2 linked regions of the Alligator mississippiensis genome follow. The protein of the gene in region 2 purifies or fractionates together with the protein of the main gene of each other region. This does not show direct contact. Links are inferred from orthologs where the notes say so. Each region holds a gene or a part of one and is shown on either strand. Other genes may lie near its edges.

Evidence for each region.
Region 1: the proteins of SLC7A11 (region 2) and CD44 purify together in Homo sapiens (affinity purification with western blotting; 3 studies listed by BioGRID and IntAct, with this or other methods). This does not show direct contact. The link is inferred for Alligator mississippiensis from reciprocal best matches to the Homo sapiens genes SLC7A11 and CD44.

Annotation. Positions count from the first base shown.
Region 1 is NC_081825.1:218,155,727-218,163,915, reverse strand, and holds the start of CD44 (CD44 antigen), read right to left. Parts: upstream 3,233-8,189; 5' UTR 3,017-3,232; coding exon 2,950-3,016; intron 1-2,949. UniProt on the Homo sapiens protein: Cell-surface receptor that plays a role in cell-cell interactions, cell adhesion and migration, helping them to sense and respond to changes in the tissue microenvironment.
Region 2 is NC_081825.1:106,127,677-106,135,022, reverse strand, and holds the start of SLC7A11 (cystine/glutamate transporter), read right to left. Parts: upstream 3,203-7,346; 5' UTR 2,752-3,202; coding exon 2,475-2,751; intron 1-2,474. UniProt on the Homo sapiens protein: Heterodimer with SLC3A2, that functions as an antiporter by mediating the exchange of extracellular anionic L-cystine and intracellular L-glutamate across the cellular plasma membrane.

The sequences.
Region 1 (8,189 bases), about 110 Mb from region 2:
CTCCTCATTGAGCCCCTTTTCCACTCCTACCATATGCTGCCATAGCATTGTGCTAACCGACTTCCTTTCTCATGCTCGTGACAAGGTATTTATTAGAATTCACAGATTTGTTAGCATCTGACACAGCCGCACCATGAGCATTTCTGCTATGACCTCTAGGCTTTCAGCCACCCACCCCAGTGTCCACACTACCAAAGTTGGGTGTGAGACCTGTCATCACCACCAGATCAACAACAACCTCCCTCCAGACTACTGTGTCATCACAAGCCAAGGCTCGCCAGCCTGGTAGGAACAGCTCAACAGCAGTTTTGAACCCTTCCCATTAAATAATGCCAGCCCAACTTTATTAAAATGGTTTTACTTCAAACCTTTGGGAGAAGAGCCAGTATACATAGTGTAACATCCTTATGAAAATAAACTAGCACAAAAGGCTTGTTCACATTGTTTTCTGTAAGTTTGTATAAAAGATACAACAGACAGAACACAATCCCTTTCTCTTCAGTTCATAGGTAGCATGTCATCCCCATCTTTTCATTTCAGCCTGGGCTACCACTCCGGCCAGCACTTCCATGTGGATGGGCACTCTCTTCTCTCTCAACGGCATTCACAGGCTTCCATTTTCATCCCTTCAGTTCCCTTGAAATCTCCTTCACTGATCCCTTCATAGATCCCCCTAACTTACTGCATTAAATTCTGTCATCACTTCTATGTTACTCAACTACAGCCAAAAACGTAAAGGTAATAGCGTTATATGGGCACAATGGGAGTGGCAGTTCATGCCACAGAATCCCAAACTGTGATGCCCACATCCTTTCCTCCTAGTTCTGGAAACTGGATGAAGTGTAAGCCAGCTAGCTAGGGGCACAGCTAAAGTCATACCCAGCTCAGATCTCAGTAGCAGTCTAGCGACAGCAGGTTCACAGACCCTGCTTCTCAGCAGGTGTCACTCATGATTCTCACCTTTCCTTCAGCCATGTCATTTAGAGCATTTCCATGGCTTCTCCAGCATATATACTTCTAACTGGATTCTAAGTCTGCTCCAAGGTCAATCAGCCCCCTGATTAATAGTTTCCCAACTGAATGGCTAAACCCTCTGTAACTTGCATCTGAGACCTTCAGAACAAACTGGAATGTCCCGGGTGAGTCTAAACCAATATTCCCAGGAGGAATCATTCCAAACATTTGAAGAATTAAAAAAAAAATCAGGACAAGAACTGAATTTTGTGCTTCGGGCCCATCCCTTTAAATCAAGCTCCAAGTGTATTTCCAGTACCTTGTGATGCACTGTGAAAAAGGACACTTAAAATATCAACTGTAGTTGTGAAGTCTGTAGTGGCTACAGAGTCAGTCTGGAATGCACTGCATATAAGCTAAAATATACCACAGCTATAATTTAATACCTTGCTAGCCCTAAAAAGAAAATTCTCTGTGGGGCATATGTTAAGCTTGATATGTTTTTGTGTTAACTATACCAAGGACTAGATTTTTTTTCCTTACATCTCTTACTGTAAAAATATTAGCCTTAGAGTAACTTCAAACAGTGACTATTTATGGCACTCCTGTTTATGGCAGTTCGTAAAAGGAAAAATGAATTGAGCAAGTGATAACAAACTCTGACTGAACATGTGTATGCTATATAAACATTAAGCAAGGTTCTAGCCACACCTCAGATATACCTTACAAGTGTGTAGCTCCTCCCTGAATATACATGCATTGTCCAGGTATCTAACTGCAGCATGAAGCTTACATTTAGTATCATGGGAAGAATATTTCAGACTGTAATACAACGTGACTTATCCCGAAATCAGGGATGAGTCTGGAACTGTTCGATCTGACACACCCATTCATAGATCTTGCGCCATAGGAGCCATTCTAACACTTACTTATTGAAATAAGCAAGAGTTTCAATATAAAAAAAGAAAAAAACTGCGTCGATAACGTCTATAAAAATATGTGATTTGATAGATTCCTAGGAACTGGTTAATGGAAAAAGGTAGAAGAATAATTGATTCTCTGCCAAAGCACCTCAAGGCAGTTTCTATTACTATGGGACTCTATTAAAGGCATAGCAATTTCCCCCAAACACTGTTGTGCCTGCACCACATAAAAAATTAAGAGCATTTTGTCATTATGGGCATGTGATTTTTATTTTATCATATGTGTTGTGCTTTCATTTGTGAAAACAGGGGATTTATTCCCATATTTTCAGGCAGACATCAGAACTATAGAAAGCTGACACCGAAACAACTGAATTGCCCAGTTCCATCAAACTTCGTTGTTTGCTTGAAAATCTTACCAATTAAGCCCAAAATAAAAAGAAGAGAAAAAAGAAAAAGGAAAAAAAGCCCACCAAAAACCTGAAAGCAACCCCCACAAATCCTTTAAATATAGTTTAGAAACATGGAGCTTTACTATAAAAACCTCTCCACATTTCATCATAGAAGTTGAATTTCCTGCCTACCCTAGCTTTTGCATTAAAATCCAGTATGTAATAGCCTTAGTTCAGCTTGTATGATCCTAAGAATACAGCTATTGTATGCCAAGAGGGGTTCCCCACCACCTCCTACAAACTGTCGGTTTTACAAGAATGGTAGAGCAATGTACATACATAATGGTAGTTTCTATTGTTGAATTTGAACAGCTCTGCTAAAGATCAATTCCTTATCATACTTGTTAGTTTAAACTTTGAGTAACAGTTTAGTTCTCAAAGTACTTTTAGCGGCTGTACGTTACCAAATACTGGTTAGCTTTTAAGTAAAAAGAAAAACAGCACAGGTTGCATTTCTGTCTCAGTTTCACCAGAGAATAACTTAAAAACAATAAAACTTGATTCAAAGAGACATGCTTATGTGGCAAAGAGGCTGCTAACCAGCTGGCTGGATGGTTGCCGCTGTCCGAAGCAGAAAACTTAATAGCAAACATTAGCATTTTCATTCATACAGTACTTACGTGTCTGTGCTTCACAAAGCTTCAGAAAACATAATCCAAAAGTTGCCCACAACAAGAACTTGACCATTGTTTCCTCAGAGTTACTTTTGCAAAAAACTCGACAGATCCTTGCAAGCTGCACAAAGACAAAAAGCCCTAACTCTTGTTGAGCCTGCAGTCAATGACTCTGAAGTTTGCTGCAGTTTTTATTCCAAAGAATTGAAGTAGTGACATAACAGGGAGGGGGAGCTGAAAGTCACACCCATGCTGCACAAAAAAGAAAAAGTGACTGAGCAAAGGGGAAGCTACTACTTCTGAGTAAGCAGCAATAGCTGACTTCTAGAGGCACTAAATCACTTTTACTCAGAGCACTACAAGTAAAAGACAGCTTAGTGCTTCTCTGGTAGACATTTTTTGCAATCTTTCTTGAATCATCTCAGAAAGGAACTGTGTTATTAGCTTCCACTTCCACAGCCTATATTAAAAAATAAGAAAATAAAAACATATCTATGTTACCGAAACCCGTCAAAATGTCTACAACTCTCTGAATATTTCTAAATAACACTTTTTTCTTTCCCCCAGCTCTCATTTCATCACTGATGAATAAACACTAATCTCTCATATCCATGTGGGGCACAGGTCATGGGTTTTCTTCACACTAGGTACATCTACATATACTAGTAATGTGTAGCAATAAACTCCAGTACATAGGGTGCCAGAATTTATTGCTCCAGGGTGCCACATCTTCACATGCACCCAAGACTGCAGCACGTTGAGCTGGGTCAAAGCAGCTCCGGCTGGCAGGGGGGTCAGCCTGCCAGTCCAGGGCTGCTCTGACCCAGCTCAGCACACTGCAGAGGGGCTGTCTGGGGCATGAGGGTGCTCCAGTGAAGAGCTAGTTGGCAGGCAGCCCCTGCACTGAAGCACCCTCATGCCCCAGCCAACCGCAACAGCATCTACACTTGTGTTGCTGCGGAGTAAAAACTCTGCTGTAGGTTAGTACTTGTGTTTGCAAGTACTAACCTGAGGTGGAGTTAATTAGTTTGCTCCATCCTAATAGCACTGCATGTGTAGAGGCTGAGGCATTTACTGAGCAGTTAATTAGGCAACTCCGCAGTAAATGTCTTGGGTAGACATGCCCACCGATCCCTTTATGTGGCTAGGGAGTTCAAAAAGCCGGAGCCTGAACTGATTCAACCTTTGTGGGTTAGTCGAACCTGGCTAGGCTGAACGGGCTTGTAACTGCACAGACATGCGGGAACATGCCTGCAGTTGCTCAGGCCAGGAGCTGGGGGTGCTAGAGCCCACCCTTGACTGCAGGGAAGCTGTGCTGGGGGGGCATGGCCAGTCCTGGCAGAACTGGCCAGAGAGGGGTTTAAATCCCCCTTCCCTGTCCCACTAGCAGGGACCTGAACCAGGTCTGCCGCCCCCTCCCTTTCACTGCTGCAGCCACGAGCCAGCATGGCCCCTGAGGAGGGGAGAGGTTATTTCCCTCTACCCCCACTGCCCCCAGGGGACCACAGCCAGGTCTGCCTGCCCCAACCGCTACCAAGCAGCAGAATATGCCCCCTCCTGTCCCTTCTGCCAGATGCCAGAGAGAATAACCCTGGTCCCTGCCCCCCCACCCCCAGCACCCAAGGGGCCCTGTCAGCCAGTGTCAGGTGGGGGCTGGCTCGGGAGCAGGCTTCCCAAGCCAGCTCAGAGGTGGTGGCATGGCCCGAGCCCAGCAGCCACCACTGCCACCCCTCAGCCCTGTGCAGCACCTGGGGCTGCAGCCTAACAAGCAACTGAGGGCTGGCTGGGGCAGTGGGGCTGTTCTGCCGCCCTTGGCTCCAGCTGCCACTGCCATGGCCACACCATGCTGTGCTGGCTGGGGGAGGGTGGGAAGCTTCTGCCCCATGCACGGAGCTCCAGCTCCAGCTCCCGGACGCCTTGGAAGGTGCTAGGGTGAGAGGCTTCAGTCCAGGGGGCTGTTGCCAGAGCTCCATGTGTGTAGCACAAGCCATGGTGCTGAAGCTTCTTCCTCCCCCCGCACTGCCTCCCAGAGCAGCAGGAATGGGAGGGGGAGTCACCGTGGCAGGCGAGGGAAAGTCAGCTTGGCTCAGCAGGACTTTCTCCCCTTGCCTCCAACAGCGGCTCCTGCTGCACCACACAGCACTGCTTGGGGCTGCGGTAGCTTCCTTCAGCCTGGTGGCTTCAACCTGAACTGGGCTGAAGCCACCAAGCTAAAGGAAGCCCCAAGTGGCACTGTGCAGTGTGGCAGGAGCCACAGCTGGAAGCAAGGGGAGAAAGCCCTGCCGGGCCAAGCCGCATTCCCCTCACCTGCCATGGTGACTTCCCCTCCCATTCCTGCTGCTTCTGAGCTGCTCTGGGAGGCAGCTGGGGGAGAGGAACTTCAGCCCCGCAGCTTGTGCCCTATGTGTGGAGCTCCAGCGGCAGCCTCTGGACTGAAGCCTCCCGCCCCGGCACCTTCCACCTTCCAAGGCATCTGGGAGCTGCAGCTGGAGCTCCACACATGGGGCAGAAGTTTCTCTGCCCTGGGACCCTGCCAGTGGGACAGGGAGGGGGAATGATACCCCTCTCTGACCAGACCTCCAACCCTGCCCATCCTTGCCTGTCCCAGCTCCAGCTGGGGAGCAGAGGGGCAGGGATAACACTGCTGAGCTTAAACAGAGCCCAGCCCAGAGAGCATGCCAGGATGCTGGGGGACTCTGGTTTAAGTTAAACCAGGAAGAGCTCTGGGACAGACATTGCATAAACCAGTTTGAGCCAAATCAGTTAAGTCTGATACTACTTTCAACCAGGTTAATCTGAAACTGGTTTCAGCCATTTTGAAACTGGTTTATGTGCACTGAATGTATGTTCTGTTGCAGGTTTAAACCAATTTCTGATCACTTAAACCAGTTTATGTGCAATGTCTGTCCCTAGCCTATGTGTCTCCATTCTGATCTCCAGGTACAAGGGGAACAGTCAGTCTCTCCAGGGCCCATTATCGACTTAGCCTCTGGGCTGAAGCTGCTCTAACAAAGTTGATGTTTACTGCCAACTACAACAGAGAGCTTTTTTGTGCCGCTGACATCTAGGAATTGTGTTGGGGTGATTCATTACTTGTATGGGTAGAAAGGAAGGGATTATTTATTTCTCATTCCCTAAAGACAATAGAAGAGTCAGTGAAAGTACAGCAGCTTTTGAAGATCACATATTCATTTAGAATTTAATGCAGGGAAAGGCCTGGAGATCATTATACAAGGGAGAAGTACAACATGGGTATTAGGAGCATATACCACCACCCCTCTAACAATTTACTATAGTCTATCCATACCTTATTCTCTATTCTGAGATGTGATTTATACTACTGGCTACCGCAAAGAAAACTTCTGTCTTCTTGGAACTACAATGAGACTACCAAGAATATATCTATCACCTTAACAATCAGGAGATGGCAATGACTTTTGTTCATTAATGATCTGGGCTGGAATTCAGTCAGCCCCTTAGAGATGAAAGATTCTATATCATATTACCAATCCAATGAACCAGCAATTCCACACTTTAAACAGCTTTTTAATTAACTTGTAATACAAACAATTGAAAAATACAGAACATGGCCTCTCCCAGCCACAAGCATAAGAATTTTACACAAAGAGCATTTCAGGACTTTGACTTTTCTTTGACTTTTGACTTAAACATAACTGGCTAACCCTTCATTGGGCTCCCTCCCAACTTTCCATATGTTTAGCAATTTTTAGTTTCTTCCTTCTAGCTTAACAAATCTAGAGTATCTGATGGGGTAATGTAAAAGTGGATGTCTTCCTTCAAACACCAAAGTTTTTTTCTTTTTTCTTATGTATCTTATACAATAAATCTATTTTATCCTGTTAATTTGGTCACACATTTAAGCTAATTGTTTCAATAGAAAAAAAAGGATTTCTTATAGGTCTTACAATAATTTTCATATTCTTCTACCTCTAAGTTTAAATGACAGGTCAAATATTCAAAGGTAATTAAGAATTCAGATAGGAACATAGTGGGATTTTCAAAAGTAGGTACACATATCACTTGGAGTAAATTAGTTATATTTTCATCTTCAGGTATCACCTACCTTTTACAAAATGGCACTACCCATCTAACTAGATTAGACTCAGGGGAAGGGAAAATTACCTAATTATATTTTAGAACCCTCTGAAAATGACATGACATATTTTCCTAGACAGTTGAATTATCATTTTTAATGTCCTAAATCTCAGTTTCCCCATGTTAGAAACAAAAGACCCAGTTCATAGGTAATGTAAAGTGGAGAGTTCCACTGACTTCATAGGCAATACATTGATTTCCTAGCAGCTGAAAGATCCATCTGTCCCACTGCCTTATTCTATTAGAAATGGGTATCCTTGACTTTTTAATGGCCTAACTCCCAGTCCTATTCTTGATATCATTAAATCAAAACTCCATTAATCACCCAGACCTGAATATTGTTTGTCCTGCATCTTGGATGATCATAATCAGGGATCCTGGTTTTCTCTGTTTAAAAATCACAAATTCTCTGATTAAAAAAACCTAAAAAAATCGCAAATTCTCTCATTAAAAACCCCCAAAATCTGCAATTTCCCATGATTAAAATGAAATGCCTTATATATATATATATATATATATATATATATATATATATATATATATATATATATAGGTATCAGTTGAACACAATGTTTTATTGATATATTTACAATTTTAAAGTAATTTGGAAGCCTACCAGTGCCCCAATCACTATAATAAAATAAATTCTAAATACCTATACATATTGCCCCTTGATTTTGGGGATTTTTATCATGGAAAATATGAGTTCCTCCTGCCCCCTTTCCTTGCCAGGATGTGGGTCCAGCTGCAGCTGGCCACTGCTTTGTGGTGCTGAGTAGCCTTGATATGCCGGTGCCCTGTCCATATCATTGCCCCTCTCTCCCCATCCACAGACCCCCCACCCCTGCTAGTGCTCGTCACTCCCCACCCACAGCTCCCCAGCTCTACCAGTGCCCCTCACTTCCCAGCTATAGACCCCTGCCCCTGATGGTGCCCTTCACCCCCCACCCATAGCCCCCCAGCCCCTACAGCCCTGCCAGAGGGGGCCCCCAGCTGCCAGAGTTATGGGGCCAGGGTCCTGGGTCCACAGCCACCTGCCCCCCACAGCAGTGCCCAAGCCCCGGCCGCTGCCTTCAGGAGGTGGTGGCCGCTACAGCAGAGCAGAGTGCAGAGCCCAGCTCTCTCTTCCC
Region 2 (7,346 bases):
GTAACATCCCATGAGTAAAAATAGAGGAACCTAGACTACTGCTAATGCTATGACACAGAAGTAATTGCTTAACATGCATTTGGATGAATACAAGAAGGAGACCAGACCACATGCTACAGAGAAAGGCAGTCTTTTCCAATCTGATCTAAAAGTCATAAGTCTTCCTGTCCAAATTTGTCAATCAGTGGCCATGTCTACATGAGACCCTGACTGCGCAGTAGCCCAATATTAGTGCACTGTAGTGTTGCATGGCAAAAAGTGTGATGCAACACTATTGCGCAGTAGTATTAGGCACAGTAGCATCACAAAGAAGGCATTCACTAGCACCACTGTACAGTAACTTGGGTTACTCCACATTTATTATCTTTTTATGCAAGTATTAAATTAACGCACAGTAATCATTCACACACATTAATCTCATGTAGACATGGCCACTTTGCAGAAGAGCAAAGTCTTTTAGCCAGGAGGATAAAATGTTCTCATCTCCATGTGTGGACAACATCAGTTAAGGAGAGGTGTATCTCATAAATACCGTTATAAATGGTTTAGTAACATGCAGGAATACAGAATCAATAGAACTATATGGTTTTAATAAATCATGGCTTGCAGTGTTATGATTGGTGATATATATGCAGTGGTCAAGGATGCAGTCCCTCAGTAAATAATGCTATAGCATTTTAAGGTATAAACCACATTTTTCAAAGCAGCACAACACTCAAAACCACTCGTATGCCCAGTGTTTTTGGTCACATACATACATGCATGTGATATAGTCTAACAATAGAGAAAGCACTACATAATATACATTTTTTTTCATTGATAGGGATGTATTCTACAGCCATTAAAACATGTTTTTATTAAGAACTCCATGCATATCGCACTTGCTTCGATTTGGGGCCCTGCTGAAGTCTTTGTGTGGTATTAATGAACGTAACTGATATTCTACCTAAAGTGATTGGAGAGTCACATTTAGAAAAACCTGTTGATGTGTTTTTTCTTGCCAATTTATCTGGAAGGTTGTAAGACAGAATCAGTTTGAAAGAAGCTGTTGTAATGCTGTAATCAGTATTTCATAGAGAGCATCACCAAGACCACTGGTAATGAAAAATAGTATGTATGACATTTTATCACAACATGAATGTATGACATTTTACAACGTGTGTATGACGTGAAAAAATGTATGACATCTTATCACAACATGTAAAGGCAGAGGGGAAAAATCAGAATGTACTATATTTAATCACTCTTCGTATACCACATAACTATGAAGGTTAATTTCAAATATCCTGTGTTCAGGCAAGGTGTGTCTCTAGTTTTATCTAAAGGCCAGCATATAACTGGATGCCAAATTGTGTTTACTTCAAGAAAAAGGTTTGGGTCTTAGGCAGTACCTTCAGAGTTCGATGGCAAATTACTGTTGTGTCTTATATTGTGCCTGTAATTAAATAAATTCAACCTCTGATGAGAAGGGGCAGTAACATTTTTCAACATTCTTTTTCATTCTTTGTATTTCTTCAAAACAATCAATGATCCTGGCCAATTTACCCAGGGCAAAATTCACATGTCCCATCTATTAAGCAGGCACGTGCTACTTAGTGTTTTCCCTCTTTACCACATGCCAGAAGACAAGTAGTCTGGATTTTAAATAAAGCCAATATTTGTGTCAGTTGCTCAGCTTTTTTGCGATTAACTCATTAAGTTGGTCAATAGACCTTCTGTTCCACATAATCAAGGGTGCTGATATCCATTGTGAATGCAGCTCTTTATACAACAAGACAAATAAACTGGCATTCATAAGGAGTTCTAATACTTTTACTAATGAAAATGTGCAAATATTGTAGCCAGATACATTCCAGAAGACAAAGTTCACAATATGTGCTTGTTTCGAAATTCCTCAATTTTGGGGGTGCAGTTTTTCATAAAATATCGTGAACTGATAAATGAAGTGACAAACAGTTGCAGAAAGTTTTAATTTAATTCAATTTCTTGCCAGTAACTGTTTTTGTCCAGAAGTTATTCATCTTAGAACTGGATCAGATGAGCAGGGAACTGAGAAAAGCTGTTTAAACATCTCACAGGTGTTCAAAATGACCAGCCCATCTCTCTAGCTTGCAAGCATGCTGTAAACTAATCCATACATTTAAAACAAGAACATCAAACATATACCACACTTCACAATACAGTAATGGATACTTCCCTCTCCTGATATATTAGGGATGCATTAAAAACACTGTTTGGTCTAGGGTCTTCATACAGCCCTTCAGTAGAGTTTTATGCCATAATGCTCATGATAGAGGCAATACTGATTGCACACAACTGTACCATTGAGAGAGCCCATCAAATAGCAAATAAGTATCCATAGCCTTACTGGTCCTCAAGCATCAGATTGATCTTTGATATCCACTAGCAAAAATAAGAAGAGAAGAATTCACCAGCTGTCCCAAAGGAGCAATTATAAACTTTGACTAACTTACCAAACAGTGAGAGGATACCACACACTGTCCAGACAACCAAGGACATTCCCACGCTGCCGGTGTTCTCCAGAATTCCTTTAGGAGAGATGAAGATTCCTGCTCCAATGATAGTACCAATTATAATGGATATGCCTCTCAACAAAGTTACTTTTTTCTTCAGCACTACTTTTTCTTCCCTCACTGGCTCTTTGCTGTCCATAGAAGGCAACCTGCCATTAGATTGCCCCTGCACATAGCTTCCATTAGTGATTGTAGGTACAGCAGGTTTCCTAAACATGCTAGCAATCAGCACACTCAAAACAAACAAAACTTTAAAAAAAAACTTTGTGGCAGACGCTCAAGGTTTCTTCCTCTATTTGTGAGTAGTTAATTGCTCTCCGTGCCTTTCCAATGCCTTCCAAGCTGTTCCTACACACAGGTAAACCATTCAAGGTGTATTTTTACTCTTCATTGAAATCTAAATGCTATTCCCTAACATCTGAACTCTCCCAGCACAGGCTGGTGCTGCCTTGTCATTGGAAACCAGTTCTGCTTCCGCGTGGACTTGTATTTAAGCTCCTGTCATACCAAGTTACTCGTGCTGAATGATGATGCAAATTCTGCAGGTTTGCATCAGCCATCTGGGATTATTCAGCACTTTTTTCTTTCTTTCTTTCTTTTTTTTTTTTAAACGGTAGGGGTATGTTGCACAACTGACCTGAGCTATTTAGGAAGAACAAAGCTCTCACTTAAAAGGAACCTTAACCTATCAGGCAGTAGTACACTAATGTCGACACATTCAAACACACTCCCAAGTATTTAAAAGAACTAGTAGTGAGACACAAAAGCCTGTTTCAAAATACAAAGCCCTTCAGCCAGAAACAAAAAAATCAAACAGGATACGTCATCTTTGGGTCTTCTCCAATTCTTTTTTTCAATACTATCTTTTCACTACCGTATACTTCAGGGTTTTCAACTGTTGTGTTTTGTTAGGTCTAGTTAGTTTGTCTAAAAATCTATTTTCTTTACCTGAAAATTGACATAGATCAGACACACATTTACAGAGACTACATATAACCCTTTTGCTACCTTATGTTGCCTAGCAACACATCCAAATCAGACTAGTGAAAAATGTAGGTTATTTCCATACAGTCATTCTCTCGTTAGTGTTTCTGTGATGCTTACGAGGAAGTTACTGATGAGAATCCCCCTGCAGGAACTCTTGTTAACATTTACAACAAACTCTTTTCAGATCTGATGGAACATTAAAGGGAATGCAGTGACTCAGATAACAGAAATTTGCATGCGACCATGATGTTTTTCTGAGCGGATTAACTGATAAATTCCAAATTCTTTACTTTCGTGTCCTTCTAACTCACATGAATTATTTTCTTTCAAACCACCACACCAAAAGTTAAAAACAAATACGCAAACAAAAACAGTTCATAAAACAACAAAAATAGTCCCTCAAGTCTTTATAATCTCACTGTACAGAGTACTATATGCCAAAGAGGGGAATCTTACATAACTTAAGTAGCGCAGCTGCTCATAGCTTTAGATTCAATCAGCGCAATGAGAAATTATTATTGCCTCACATACTCCCTTTACAGTTATTGCTTAATTAGCTCCAAGATGGAAAAATATATTAGCTGAACATTTTAGCATTTCAAAAGACAACACTATTCTTTGAGTGTATCCTAGTAATACACTCAGTGTAGAGCTGCACTCTTAACACTCTAGTTGTAAAACCCAAATCAATATTTTAAAAGACCTGTATTTTCAGGGGTTGTGACTTGTCTGTAATAATTTGTGTGGTGGTAAAACTATCTATAAAAACCTTGGCTGGTATTAATATACAGAGGTACAAACACAAAAAACACCATTTTTGCACATCTATTTGCACTGTTACAATGTTTTAAAGAAAGTTTCACTTCTTACTCTATACTCTTTGCATATCCACCATCAGATACTGTGATTTCTCCTCTAGTCATGGGTGATGGGTGCATTCTGAATCTGGGGGGCCACCCGCAAAAGCCACCGACCCTGTCAGGGGGGACACCAGCTCTACCAACAGCATCAGTGTCAGCTGTTGGGGGGCCACCAGCCCCGTCAGGGGGGGCACATGCACCCCCATGCACTCTCTACCAGTTGCCTATGCCTCTTCCTTAGTCTGTCTACCATGTGCCTGCTCTGCGCCTAGGTGAAAGAGCAATTAATTTTTTACTGAAAAACATTGAATACCACTCAGGTACATGCCAGTGAGGTACCTGGTCAAATTATTAACCACTGGCCTGGGCTGATGTTCTTAAACTGAATTTAAAGGTGCAGAATCACAAGCACGCAGCAGGGCTTCCTTAATCAGTGTCTCAGGGATATATGTTATGTATATACCCTTATATAGTCCTTAATCAATGCCTGACATTTATTTAAATGGGAAGGTAATTAAATGGGAAGGAGCTACAGATCAAAAGAAGTATTAAGCAAGCTTCCAGACAACTCCAAGGCAGCTCCCAGCAGTTCAGAGCTCTGCCTTGAATATTTGGTATAAACTTTCAAAGGAGTTAAAAACCTTCACATTTATTTGACCACAGGTCCTCTTTGCTTTTAGGAAGATAGCAACTCACATGGACTTCTGTGTGTGTATGTATGTATCATTATTTAACCAATAAGCTGTTCAATTAAAACATAAACTATGATTTTCTATATGTCTTTAGACCTTGGGATGATTTATCAGTAATAGCACTTACAGCTTTTACTTTAACTTATGATTTCCCTAATGTTGTATGAGTCCCTTGGGCACTCTTGGTGCATAGCATTAGTTGAAGTAGCCTATGGCCTTTCTAACTTAGTATCAGTGCTAGACCAAGAGCAGAAAAGAGGTAAAGTTATTTAAAGTCATGTTTTCACATGCCTTCTTGGCTGTAGCTGAGACTGAGAGTCTCTCTGAGTTCTCCTAATTCTGTGTAGAACCTACAATACTTTGAAGGGTCCTGCAATACAAATAAGTAACAATAGCTACTTTAATAGCAGCCTTCAACTACCTGAAGGGTGGTTACACAGAGGATGAAGCCCGACTGTTCTCAGTGGTGGCAGATGACAGAAGAAGGAGCAATGGTCTCAAGTTTCAGCAAGGGATGTTTAGGTTAGTTATAAGGAAAAATTTTTTCACGAGGAGGGTAATAAAACACTGGAACAGGTTACCCAGAGTGGTTGTGGAATCTCCTTCCTTGGAGGTTTTTAAGACTTGGCTAGACAAAGCTTTGACTGAGATAATGTAGCTGGGGATGGGTCCTGCTCTGAGCAGGATTTGGACTAGATGACCTCCTGAGGTCCTTTCCAACCCTCATTTTCTATAATTCTACTCAACAAAGTCAGAACAGTCACATTCAATTTTGAACAGCAGGGTTGTTAAGTAATAGAAACAAATCAGCTAAATTAAGGAAAGGCTTAGTTCTTGACATTGAACCTTTCTGTCGTCTTCTCTTGCTTCCTCACTAATCTCTGATTAACACCTACTACTTAACATACAGTCAGTTATTACATCTGTAGCTTCACATTTTCTCACTGGTCTGCCTTGCTTGAGGCAAGACTAATTTGGAGGAAGTGGCCTGCAAAGAAAGCTCCGTTGGTCCTGAAGTCCCAATAGGCTATCCAAATCTCAGGTTTGGGCATGCATGGATAAGGGCAGCTGCACATCCATTTACTGATGGGTGGAGCCCTGACTGCTTCTTTCAGCACGCTATCAGCAATGCTGAGCTGGCACAGGGAGGAGTAGTTTACAACTAGTACAGAACTGCTGTGAATTGCTACCCCCTGGAGCAAGAAGGGAATAGGGAGAGAATTATAGGTAAGGCACACTTCTTTTCTTGCAGTGCTTTCCTGTGCAGCCCTTAGCTACTGCTGTACCAAATCCTGTGGCTGTGAGACCATGGCAAAAGTTAGCCGCTTGACATTTGGGCTCTTACAATAAAAAGTAATCATTTGTGTCATCAACATCCCAAATTCTGCACAGAAAGGAGTAAACAACCCTGGGGCACTTTTAAAGACCAGAACAAAATTAGTCTTTTTGGCAAATTAGTTGTGACTTCTCTGCCATCTAAGTCTATTTCCAAGACAAGAAGGAAACAGTGACAGACACCTTAAGATCTCACAATCAATGTCATGCTTACCCAATCTATCCTGAGTCAGATGTGACCACAAGGAGTTACTTTCACTGGTAGTTTTAATTTAAATTGTTCCAAGTTAATGCAGGATTATGGCATTAGTAAAAAAAAACACAGCACAGTACACAGCCATATTCCCTAGGGAAGTCTTCAGGCCACCTGAAGCTTAACTTGTTCACTACTGAAAACATACTCTGTTAGACCTACAATTTTAATTTTTTAAGGCAATATCTCCTTCAGGATGCTGAAAATATTTTAGAGCAACAGGAAGCTCTCCCACAGAAAAGAAAATAAGATTTCACCTCTGCAAGCAATTGGAAAGATGCACAGCATTGTCGTATTTTCTATGCTATATTTTCTATGCAGTGTCAGGTTCATTTCCTGACCAAAAGTTTTAATACATAAACTAGATAAACAATGTAAAATGGTTTCCTCCTTCTGAACCTTACTATCACCATGTCATGAAACATTTATCTTTTTTATGCCAAACAAAATTCTTAATCAAGAGTAAGCCTAATGAATTCTCTATAGGTTTTTGCCTAAAATTTGCAGATAACTGAATTAGCATGTGACCCTGCTAGACCAATGGTTCTCAACCCTTTTGGATACACGGCACCCCTTATTAGACTTAAGACATCCCTTAGAAAATGCCAGCTCTTAGTTTTCAGTAGATTTTTGACTACAGGAAAATTAAACAGAACAATTCTTCAGTTGCAAAGAACTCAGAAAG